Canis lupus familiaris: one gene and its partners. The protein of the gene in region 1 purifies or fractionates together with the protein of each later gene. This does not show direct contact. Links are inferred from orthologs where the notes say so. Each region holds a gene or a part of one and is shown on either strand. Other genes may lie near its edges. The genes, in order: SBF1, MTMR1 and MTMR2.

Region 1 (4,128 bases):
GGGCTTGGGGATCTGCGCGGGGACAGCTCTGCATCCACCCATGTTTCTTCTGCCACCTTGCGGCCCTGTCAGCACGGGGGACCTGCCCGCTCTCTGTTCCTCCGGCTGCACACACCATGGGAGCTCAACAAACACTCACGGGGTGAGTAAGTCGACAAGTGTTGAGCGCCGGCCCGTGGAGTAGCCTGGTTCATGTCCGGAGGTGGGCAGTGAGGCAGCAGCAGCCCTCCCGGGTTCTAGTCATTGATTTATTTTTTCCAGCTTGGGGAGGAGGGAGCGCGAAGCCGTGACATTCACGGTAGAAAGGTGCCACGGGGCAGGAGGGGCGGCCTGGGGGGACAGAGCCTGAGTGACCCTGGGGGCGGGCGACGAGGTCAGCTCTCCTGGTGGCCGATGCGGGAGCCCCTAGCGAGGGTGGGTTTGGGCGCCTGCGGTCTTCCTGGCAGAGGTATCAGGCTGCCCTGTAGTCTCGTGGGCCTGGGGCTGGAGAGGGCCGACCTGGACACGGTGGGAGCGTCACAGACGCCACCAGACACTGCGGAGAGGACGGAGGCCGCAGGCCAGCTCTGGAGGGACAGCGAGGGAGGGGTGGGTAGATGCCCGGGGCAGCCGGACCCTCCCCCCAACCTGCCTCAACACTGTCGCCAGTGCCCTCTTTCCCAAACTCAAGGGTGATGGTACCACCCAACCCTCCAATAAAGAAAAATCAAATCAAAGTGCCTTGTCTCTGCGAGTTTGTAACCTGGGCAAGCGGAGGTAAATGAGCCCCAGGGAGGTGCCCGGACCCGGGGCTCCCGGCGTAGTTCCCAGCGCCCTCGCTGCCTCCCCGACCCCCGCTGGGTGGGGTGTCCTCTGGCCCCGGTCCCGGGCGCCACAGCTCGGGGGCCTCGGGTGTGACCCCGTGTGACCCCGTGCGCTCCCGGGCCGGCGGCTCCCGCTCCCCCCGCCCGCTATTCGCTCCGCGGCCGGCTGCGGGGGCTCGAGCGCCCGGGGCGTGGGCGTCTCCTCCATCCCGCGCCCGGTGCCCCCGCCTTGCCCCCGCTTTCCGCGGAGGGCGTGCGCTTGAGGCTTCACCCCACCCGATGGGGCTTCCGAGCGCCGAGCCCCGGGCCCGCTCTCACCCGCGCCACGCCAGCCGATGACCCGCGCGAGCCGCCGTCACTGTCAGCGCCCGGGGGGGCGGGGCCGGGCGTAGCCCCGCCCCCGGGCACCGAGCCCGCGCCGAGCGGACCAATGGGAGCGGGTAGCTGCGGGACCCGCCCATGGCGGGGGCGGGGAGAGGCCGCGCAGGCGCACGGCGCAGCCGGGCGGGCCGGCTGGCTGGGAAGATGGCGGCGGGAGCTCTGGCCGCCGCGGCGGAGCGGGCCCGGGGTGTCCGGGGAGCGCGGGCCAGGGCCGGGGCCGGGCCATGAGCGCGCCGCCCTCGCGTCCCCGAGCCGCGGAGCCCGCCCGCGCATCTCGCCATGGCGCGGCTCGCGGACTACTTCGTGCTGGTGGCGTTCGGGCCGCACCCGCGCGGTGAGTGCCGGGCCCGCGGCTGAGGGCGGAGGGCCGGGGCCCCAGGGCGGGCAGGGGTCAGCCGGGGCGGCGGGCGTGCGCGGGGACACGCGGGGCGGGCGGGCCGCGGCCGCTGGGCTGGCGCGAGGGTCGTCCGGGGCACCAGTCGGGGCCGGGGTCGCGGTCGGGGTCAGGGGTCGGGGGCCGGGGTCGCGGCCGGGGTTAGGGGTCGGGGGTCGCGGTCGGGGTCGGAGACCCGGGGCCGGGGGGTACCTCTGAGGACAGCGGGGCAGCGCGACCCGGCGAGCCCGACCTGCCCGCCACCCTGGGGCCCGAACGGGGTCTGGCCGAGCATTGGCGGGGCCCGGCGGGGGGCGGGAGGGTCCGGGAGGGCTCGGCCTCGGGCTCGCTCGGGGAGGGATGGGCCCTCTGCTCCGCCGCCAGCTGCCCTTCCGGACACGGATCCTTGGCTCGCAAGCCCTCCTCTGATCCCCGGTGCCCCTGGCCCGTGTGGGGTGTCTCAGGCCAGGAGGCTTAGGGATGCAGAAGATGGGCGGTTAGAGGTGATGTTTGAGCCGAGACAGGAGGAAGTGGGAGGAGAGGGACCAGCGTTCCTGGCAGGCCGCCGGCGGTCCTCATGCCTGCAGGCCAAGCCCTAGGTGGGGGACCGCTGCGTCAAGTCGATGTCCAGGAGGTCCATCTCTCGCGTCAGCGCCTGTGTCTGAGGGCCCTTGAGCCCGGGGGTAGGAGCAAACAGCCTGACCATGACATCAGCAGCAGTCATGGAGACGGTGGGTTGGGGAGTGCACTCCGTGTGCCAGGCCCTGCACAGCCCTTTGTGTGCATGATCTCATTTCTTCCTCCAGCAGCCCACCACGGTTTCCTTGCTCTCTCCCTCGTCGGTAAAGTGGAGTCGAGCACAGAGCTTGATTGCCTGGCCTGAGCTACCACAGAGACAAACCCAGCAGCAAGCTGTGGGCTCAGATCCCAGTGGCAGGGGGGCAGCGCATGCCCTCAGGGGAGCCTGTGTGGTCAGCCCGGTTGGCACACTCATCACCCAGGACCCAGACTCTCTCTCCTCTTTGCCTTTCTTGCTGAGACTCTACCTGCCGGATCCTGCACACTCCAGACCCTCCTGCGTGCCCTCGTAGGACTCACTCCTCTCTTCTGCTCCTGTCTGTCCAAGGGTCCGTCCCCTGACACCCTCAGTCATGAGCGTGTCTTCCTCCAGACGGGGAGGTTTTGCAGCAAGAGCCAGTCATCTTTGCCTCCCAGTCTGCACGTGGCAGGCTCACACTCGGTGTTGTTGTACAGGCCCACAGAGGAAGAACCGTTTGTCCCACGGTGCATGTGGGGGGCAGCGAGGAGGCCATGCCGCCTGGAGCAGAGGGTTGCATGGGATCCAGGGAAACCAGGCTGGCCCAGGGGCCGCCCAGTGTGAGGGGCCCTGTTTGGAGCTGCGTGAACAGAGTGGGCTTGGAGGCTGATGATGCAGGAGTGGTGTGGGAAGGGTCTGGGAAGGCAGAGACCACAGGCAGAGGCCGGGTGGTAGCAGCAGGAGTAGGGGATTGAGAGTGAATTAGGGAGGTGAGATGCGGCGTGGGTGGGCTCCGTGGCAAGCTGGCTGTGACACTCAGGGTGGGCACCCCTGGTATTTGTGGCTTCTGGTACAGACAGGGGAGAAGGCTGCCTTCCTTAGCATCAAGAAGGAGTCCCAGACTGTCACCTAGTAGGGGTGAAGGCCATGGAGCCTGCCCTAACTGCTGCCTTCCAGGGCTGGAGCTGGTTACTTGCCGACTGGCCACCCAGCCTCTGGGCCTGTGTTGGGAGGACTCCTCCATCCCGTAAGAAGGAAGCCCACAGGCTAGGACCCTAGCCATAGGGCCGGGGGCAGAGCCAGGTGGTGGCAGGAAGCCTGAAGCAGAGAAACACTACGTGGGGGAAGCCAGTGGTACCTGCTTTGCCACTTGATAGCTCTTGACCTTGGGCCAGTCTTCCAGCTCTCTGCACCTCAGCTTTTTCATCTGGAGTTGGAATGAGTCACACAGACCTCCCAGGCTGCCACGAGCAGGAGGTGGACACGCATGTGAAGCTGTTCACACAGGAGGCTCCAGGAAATGATGGATCTCTTAGTGATGAGCAGCAGGTGTGAGGACACTATAGGCACTGGCACAGTCGGCAGGGCTGCTGGAGGTGGGGGACCCTGTGTGCTGGCAGGCCTAGGACGTCAGGACAGGGATGCGGGGTCTTCTGGGTTCAGTGGAGGGGGTAGGAGTGGGGGATGTCTTGTTCTTGGCCTGGACTTAGACATCCTGTCTGGAGCTGGTGGGTGCAGGGCCTGGGTATAGGAGCCCTGCCTGAGGGAGCATCTGGTTTTATAGTTACCATCTGGTGAACCTCTCCAGGCAGGAGCACAGGGAGGGGGGGATGGGACCCCAACTTTCAGTGCAGACCTCTCCCCTGGTGAGTTGGGGGAGCTCCTTCACTAAGGACATGAGTTAGCACCTTCTGCACCCTGGGCCAGCTCTGGGGACACTGTGGGGGCCAGACAGATCACCCTTGCCCAGCTTCTGGGCTGGGGGGGCCTGACCATGGTCAGCTGATGTACATAGCATGGCCAGTGCTGGGGTG
Region 2 (2,867 bases), on another chromosome or scaffold:
GAAGCTCGGCGTTCTGGCCCTTGCCGGGGTGCCGATGGTGGGGCGGCAGGGCCCGTCCGGGCATGAGCGGACCTGGTGGCGGGCTCGCAGCCGGACCCCGGGGCCGAGTGGGAGGCGGCGGGCGTGGGGTCACCTGCGTGGGGTGGCGCTTCGGCGCCCTGCCGGCCGCTAGTGCAGCAGCACGAGCCCTCCCGCCCAGAGCCGCCCTGGGACTCCCCGGTATCCGCATGGGCAGCCGGGTGCCCGGAGGGGACAGGGGCGCGAGACCCGCGGGGGCTCCCCCAGAGGCCAGCATGCGAGCCGTGGACTCGGGGTGGGGGCCCCGGGGCTTGTCAGCGGTCTGCCCCCTTTGCAGCTCGGGGTCCCGGGGTCCCCGGGCCCGATCGCCCAGCCCTCCCCCACCAGCTTCGGGCAGACGGGCGATCCACGGCTACACGCGCCACATCCCCTTTGGGGCCGAGACGCGCGTGTGGGGTTCAGCGAAGGACTCGAGTCCTACCTCACACGCGTCACCTGGGCGTGGCACGGGAGACCACAGGTGTGGAAGGTGCTGTCATTTTTCCGAGGGAGGAATTGGGAAAACATTAAAAAAAAAAGTAGACGACCCCAGAGCAAACATATTATTTTAATTACAGATGGAAATACAGTGTATCAGATGAGGCGACTACGCGACTGTACCAGTCTTTACACACCTGCACCAGGGGCTTAGGTTCCATACGCTTTAAATAAACAGAAAGCAAGGGGGGTGCTCGGCTAACGGCACGAGGCTTCTAGCTGGGCCGGGTGGGGGCACCCGGGGGAAGGGGGCTCGCACGCGGACGGCCCAACAGACAGCCCGCACGAGGCGATGCGGCCCCGGGAGGAGGACCGCCACCGCCGCTGCCGGCGGGAGGACACCGTGCCAGGTCACTGGCCCTGTTCCTGTCGCGGGCAGACCACGTAAGTCGGCGCGAGCTGGGGGTGGAAAGAACCCGTCACCCGGTCCGGTTACGCACACACCTCCTCGGGTGACTAGTTTCCAACATAAAAAAGGACATAGGAAAATAAAGGCATGTTTCTCTTTTTAAAAAATACCTTCTATGTACATGACAGTAACTGGCGCAGGAGGGCCCCGGGCGGGAAGAGGACGGGACACTCGGGGGCCGTGGCGGGGCCAGGGCGGTGAGTGGGCACGACGGACACGGCCGACGAAACGGAAAGCGCTTGATGACGGCGGGAGCGGTCACCTTGCCACGCAGGCGGTCGCTGGTGGGCAGGATCACCCGGCCCGCGGCCTGCCCGAGGCCCCTCGGGGAGTGGCCCCAGAGCGCGTCACACGGACGTGTGGACGGGGGTGACCGGGTGGGACGGCGAGGAGCCCCGCTCGGAGGACGACGAGGCGCGTGTGGCCACCTCCCGCTGCAAGTCCTCCACCCGCTTCTGCAGCTCCGCCTTCACGGCCAGCAGCTCCTTGAGGTTCTGGTGAATGGGCATCTGGGGAGAGAGGGACACGGTGAGGTCCCCTGCAGCTCTGCCGACTGGCAGCACCGACACTGTTCCCACCCATCGCGAGAGGTGCAGGCGGCCACCCCGGTGATGACCCTGCTGGAGGAGGGCGCCTGGGGGGCCGAGCCCACCCCCCCCCCCGCAAGGCCTCCCCGGGAGCCTGAGGCCCGGAGGGGGCTGCCGTGGGCGTACGGGACTCCCGGCCTGAGGCTGGGTCACAGCATCACCCGTTCTCCCCCGGCCGGCCCAGGCAGCCAGCAGCCAGCTTGTCCCCCACGAGGCTCTCGGACCAGGGTGAGGTGCACCGGGGACGGGGGTCACCACCTGGGAGGCGCTCCTGGCCTTGTGTCCCTGATGCAGTGTGTGCACGGCAGCCGCAGGCCCGGGTCCTGAGCCTCAGCCAGGCTCCCTGGTGCCCAGCCAACAGCCTCCAGGGGCTGCTTTCTGCCGCCCCGACCTTGCCCTCAAAACCCTGGGCTCTGACCCCAGCCTGCCGCTCCTCACCGCTCCTCACCGCTCCCCCAGGGTCCTGCCTCTGCTCCCCTCCTGCATTCCAGAATCTTCTAGGTTTTGAGCCGTTCCATGCATGTGCAGCCCCCTGCCCCCGGGCTCTCCCATCAGGGCTGATCACCCCAGTCCAGGGAGGAGGGAGACGGGTAGGGAGGAGGCAGGCAGATGAAAGCGCAGGGTGCCAGGTCACTAGCGAGGAACCAAGTCCTGACATCAGGCCACAGCAAGAAGGGAAGGGACAACACTGAGGCTGAAGGGAAGGGACAACACTGAGGCTGATGCCAAAGACCCCCCCCAAACAAGGGGACGTTCCCTTATTTGCTGCTGATCCCCAAGGCCACCGCGAAGTAAGCAGTAGCTCCCCTCCTGGCCTTGCGGCCAATTTGGTGTTAATTCTCCTGTTGGGATCGTTTGGTTCCGAGGGAATCACACAAGGGAAACTTCTGGAGTCAGGTCCCGGACACGGGAAGTCCATGGAGGGAGCGCCCAGTGTCACACCCAGGACCTGAGGTGACCCTCAGGGATCTCCGAGCAGCCTTGCCTCAGGTCACTTCCAGTAAATCCAAGGCCCGCTCGGTAGAGAAGTGCCCAGTAGGGAGCCTCCCCCTGTGGGCGGTGGGTCTGCCCCGAGCCAAGAGGGCCCCGAAGGAAACGACGCAGCTCGGTCCCCCCTTCCACCCGGCCAACCCTCTGACGGAGGCCCAGGGAGGCGTGGTGCAGGCAGCCCACAAGCGCCCTCCTCGGACAGAAGGGGCCAAGCAGGCTGGTCCCCTGCCTTTCCTCCCTGTCCCGCCGGCCTGGCTCCCCATCCTGTCGCAGTGACGCCGGCCTAGGTGCCCACTCTGTGCCACCCCCCCACCCCCGTCTTTGAA
Region 3 (4,113 bases), on another chromosome or scaffold:
TGGGGGAATGAGGAGCATTAATTTTTTTCCTACCCGTCCTATACTTTCTCCACTACCTTTGTCATGCCAGCCACTTCTCAGGTTCCTGTCCCACAGCCGCCATTTTTGAAGCTGTATTACTGTTTATACACCTTAATGCAGCACATCCTAACAACCCTCACAAAGTAGGGAGGACTACTAACAGCTAATATCTGAGTGCTTACTATGTGCCGATAACTGTTTTTCCAACATTTTATTTAAATTCAATTTGCCGACATACAGTGTAACACCCCGTGCTCGTCCCGTCAAGGGCGCGCCTCAGTCCCCCCATTCCTCCACCTCCTCTTCTGCAACTGTTTGCGAGTCAGGAGTCTCTCGTGGTTTGTCCCCCTCTCTGATTTTTCCCACTCGGTTCCCCTCCTTTCCCTTGTAATCCCTCTCACTATTTGTTATATTCCCCCATGAGTGAAACCGTACACTGATTGTCCTCCTCCGACTGACTTACTTCACTCAGCATAATACCCTCCAGGTGCATCCGCGCCGAAGCAGATGGCGGGTGTCCTCCCTCCTGAGGGCTGAGCAGTATTCCACGTACACATGGACCGCATCCTCTTTATCCATGCGTCCGTCGACGGACATCGTGGCTCCTTCCTCAGTTTGGCTATTGTGGACATTGCTGCTGTGAACTTTGGGGACAAATAGTGTTTTAAGCATCTTACATGTATTCACTCACCTAATCTGGGAAGATATGATTTTCCTATTTAACAGATAAGAAAGAGGGTGTTCAATGCCTTGGGTTACGCCGCCAGTGACGGGCACAGGGGGGTTCTGAAATCATGTCTGACCGGCTAAAGGAACTTTTAACCACTATTTAATTAATAATGATTATTTCCAGCCCCAAACCTGGCGACCTTGGCCATCTCCAGTAGCTCACCCCCTCACGTGGCCCTGCGCGCCCTCTCCTGCCGCCCCCGCCCCGCCCCCGCACCCCCCGGGGCCGCCGTCCTCCGGGGTCGCCCCCCCCCCCCCCACGGCCCCCGCCGCCCGCGCCGGGTCACTGCCGCGTGTTTCCCGGCATCCCGGGCCCAGGTACCCGCAGCCCCAGGACCCCTGCCCCTGGTATGCACTTAGTCCTCTCTTTGCCTCCTGCCATCCTCCTCCTCCCAGGGGTCCCCCGACCCTCGGGGCAGCGCGGGGGCGCAGGAGCGCACGCAGCGAGCGCAGGGCGTCGGCCGCAGTCGGCGGCAGCCCCGGGGTCCTCGCGCTCCTCGCGCTCCTCGGCGGCCCCCGGCGCGGTGCAGGCTGGGGGAACATGGCCGCTTCCGGTCTCCCTCCCGGGCCGGCGCTGGCCTGACCGCGGCCCCTGCCCGGCGCACTCCGCCCTCCGCTCCTCCCGCTCCGCTGCCGCGGAGGTCGCTTCAGCCTTTGCGTCCCGCTGTCCCCGCCGCGCCATGGAGAAGAGCTCGAGCTGCGAGAGTCTTGGCTCCCAGCCGGCCGCAGCACGGCCGCCCAGCGTGGACTCTCTGTCCAGGTAACCGGGATGCCCCGGGCCCCGCCCAGCGCCCAGCGCCCAGCGCCCGGAGCCCGAGAGGGATGGAGAGGGGCCTGGACCCGCGGGGGGGCCCCAGCTCCCGACTCTGCTTCCTGATGGCTGCGCCGAAATTCCTCTCCTGGGACCTGGGAGCCACTTCTTCCTCCCCCTCTGGGGTTTGCAGGCTGGGGAGAAGGGAAGGTGAACACTCATTGCTGCTTCACCGGCGCCTCTACCTTTCTTGTAACCATCTTTTTTAAATCCCGGGTGGAGGCAGCCCCAGTTCATTAGTATCTCTTGTTTCTCATTCCCTCTCGAATTATTTTTTTGGACAGCCCTTCCCCCAACCACCACCCCTCCTTTCCTCCCTGCCTTTCTTTACTATACGCTTTTCCAAACCGTTCTCCAGGCTTGCTTCCATCTATTCATATGTCTTCGATTTTGGGATTCTTGCTCACGTTTTTTTTTTTTTTTTTCCCATCACTTTATTTCTCATGATTTTCCATATACTCCTCCCCCTCTCCCCATTTTGCTTTAAAAATGTAAATAAAAATGCCCACTGTACATCGCCTTTCAAAATCTTGCAGCTGAAAATCATTAGGAATCTGAGCAGTCCTTAACCCTGACTGAATAATGAGTGTTAGCTTTCTTCCTTCTGGGGCTACCGGTTTTCCTGGTTATTTCTCTTGTGACCAGATGGGATTTTTTTTTTTTTCCTGGAATTTTGAGGAGGACTTTAGTATGCAATTTTGTAGATAGCTGTTGTGAGTATAAACTAGACATATTTCAGAGAATGTTTTCCCTTTGGTTTTAAAATAGTGAATTAAAATCTAAGGAAAAAATAATAGATGACCTGTGTTTGTTATGTAGCCACAATAAAATAAGCTTCTTTTCTACCAAAAAATAGTCTAATTATTATTAGAGTTATTAGATACTAATCTGTGTGAAAACACAAATTTCATTTTCCTCAGAATAAATAGAAGTTTCTAACTTTTAGTTCATTTTGCACTCTACTAAATATGAGTGACACAGCTGTTTTCCTATTACTGTTCAGACCTTATTGTGAAAATATTAGCTGTTTCCTTCATTATAAATTAGATTCTCTTCCTAATGCACTCCTGGGAACCTGCTCCCACCATTTTCAGAGTTCTCAACAAACAGTGTAATCGTGGATTAATTATTTTCTGCGAGACTGTAATCTACTGGACCACATCTTACTATCTTATCTCCAGCATTTAACAGAGACACCTTTCATGTCAGAGGTTCTCAACAAAATTTTTTTTTGAATCTATACATTTAATTACCCAGGAGAGAAGGATTTTTCTTTGCATTCGATCACATATATTGTACATCTGTTTCAAGTATTTTAAAAATTTTATTACTCTGAAATTTAGGAAATTTAAGTTACATTTTTAGCTTAAAATTATGCAGAACACAGGTTGTAAAATTAGAATTGTATAGGAAAGTTACAAATGGCAGCTATGATTCAGAATAGAATGTAAAGAAAACAAATGAGGCAACCAGTAATCTCACCCAAGCAAGAGGAAGTGGAACCGCAGGAGGCAGCAGAGTCTGTTAGGATGAAGAATGTATTGGAAGTTAGGAGGTTCAGACTCTTAAAAGTCCCTGGCTCTGCTAGTTTTTTGGCCTGTATCATTTAACTTTTCCAGTCTGCAATTTTCACATCTTTCAAAATAAAGAAATTGATCTAGAGAACCTGCAACGCCCCTTGGCGCTCTAAAATTCTGTCATTCTTTATCTTAATGACAGTAATGATTAAGATACATTCTCATCAATTACTAAGATATTCCCTTTATGGAGTTTTTAAATTATACTAAATAACTCTGTTATTACAAATTAACGTACCTAATTGTGCCACTTAAGCATATTTATTCCCTCCCCAAAGAAAGCCCAGTAACTTTAAAGTTTATATATTTTAATTCTTAATTAAAAATTATGTTACTGACATGAATTTAAGAAAATTAACTCCTTGAGATAGTTTTGACTAGAATATTTAGCCTCTTCCTCTCTGGACAAAAATATAAGTATGATCTACTTTCCGTAGGAGAATGCCAGCTTTCATTCCTTTCCTCTGGAAGGCAGAAAAAAATAACATTTGTTGAATGTCTACTATGTAGAATTCACCCTGCTAAATTTTTTCATGTCTTTTAAGAATCATTACACATGTTTGATCAACAGTGTAAAATAGTTGCATTGTAGACACTTGTTAGCTTAAATTTAAACTTAATCTAGGCAAACAATAAATTGTAAGTGAGAAGGCAGAAAACCATGATTATAATAGCTATGCTACCTGGCTATCCAGCTGTTTATGATTTTACTGTGATAGCCTATAATAAAGCAAAATATCAATATTTGGACTGTATTGTCTCAGCCTTCTGCAGAAACATTGCCTTTAAATTGTAGTTTATTTTTATGCCTTCTGTTTTTTTACAACTAGGAAATTTTCAGTGTCAAATTTTCAATTAGGAAATTGCCACGTGAATTTGTTCCGATACAACAATAGCTAATATGTTCAGTGTATTCCATATGTCTTTTACAGACTAGATTGATATAAGTTTCTGTTGAGTTTAGCTTCAAGAAAA

What was found.
Region 2: the proteins of SBF1 (region 1) and MTMR1 purify together in Homo sapiens (affinity purification with mass spectrometry; 4 studies listed by BioGRID and IntAct, with this or other methods). This does not show direct contact. The link is inferred for Canis lupus familiaris from reciprocal best matches to the Homo sapiens genes SBF1 and MTMR1.
Region 3: the proteins of SBF1 (region 1) and MTMR2 purify together in Homo sapiens (affinity purification with mass spectrometry; 6 studies listed by BioGRID and IntAct, with this or other methods). This does not show direct contact. The link is inferred for Canis lupus familiaris from reciprocal best matches to the Homo sapiens genes SBF1 and MTMR2.

Annotation. Positions count from the first base shown.
Region 1 is NC_049231.1:17,726,966-17,731,093, forward strand, and holds the start of SBF1 (myotubularin-related protein 5), read left to right. Parts: upstream 1-1,327; 5' UTR 1,328-1,463; coding exon 1,464-1,518; intron 1,519-4,128. UniProt on the Homo sapiens protein: Acts as an adapter for the phosphatase MTMR2 to regulate MTMR2 catalytic activity and subcellular location. Promotes the exchange of GDP to GTP, converting inactive GDP-bound Rab proteins into their active GTP-bound form.
Region 2 is NC_049260.1:120,303,688-120,306,554, reverse strand, and holds the end of MTMR1 (myotubularin-related protein 1), read right to left. Parts: intron 1,474-2,867; coding exon 1,312-1,473; 3' UTR 607-1,311; downstream 1-606. UniProt on the Homo sapiens protein: Lipid phosphatase that specifically dephosphorylates the D-3 position of phosphatidylinositol 3-phosphate, generating phosphatidylinositol. Could also dephosphorylate phosphatidylinositol 3,5-bisphosphate to produce phosphatidylinositol 5-phosphate.
Region 3 is NC_049242.1:5,272,259-5,276,371, forward strand, and holds the start of MTMR2 (myotubularin-related protein 2), read left to right. Parts: upstream 1-1,263; 5' UTR 1,264-1,430; coding exon 1,431-1,510; intron 1,511-4,113. UniProt on the Homo sapiens protein: Lipid phosphatase that specifically dephosphorylates the D-3 position of phosphatidylinositol 3-phosphate and phosphatidylinositol 3,5-bisphosphate, generating phosphatidylinositol and phosphatidylinositol 5-phosphate.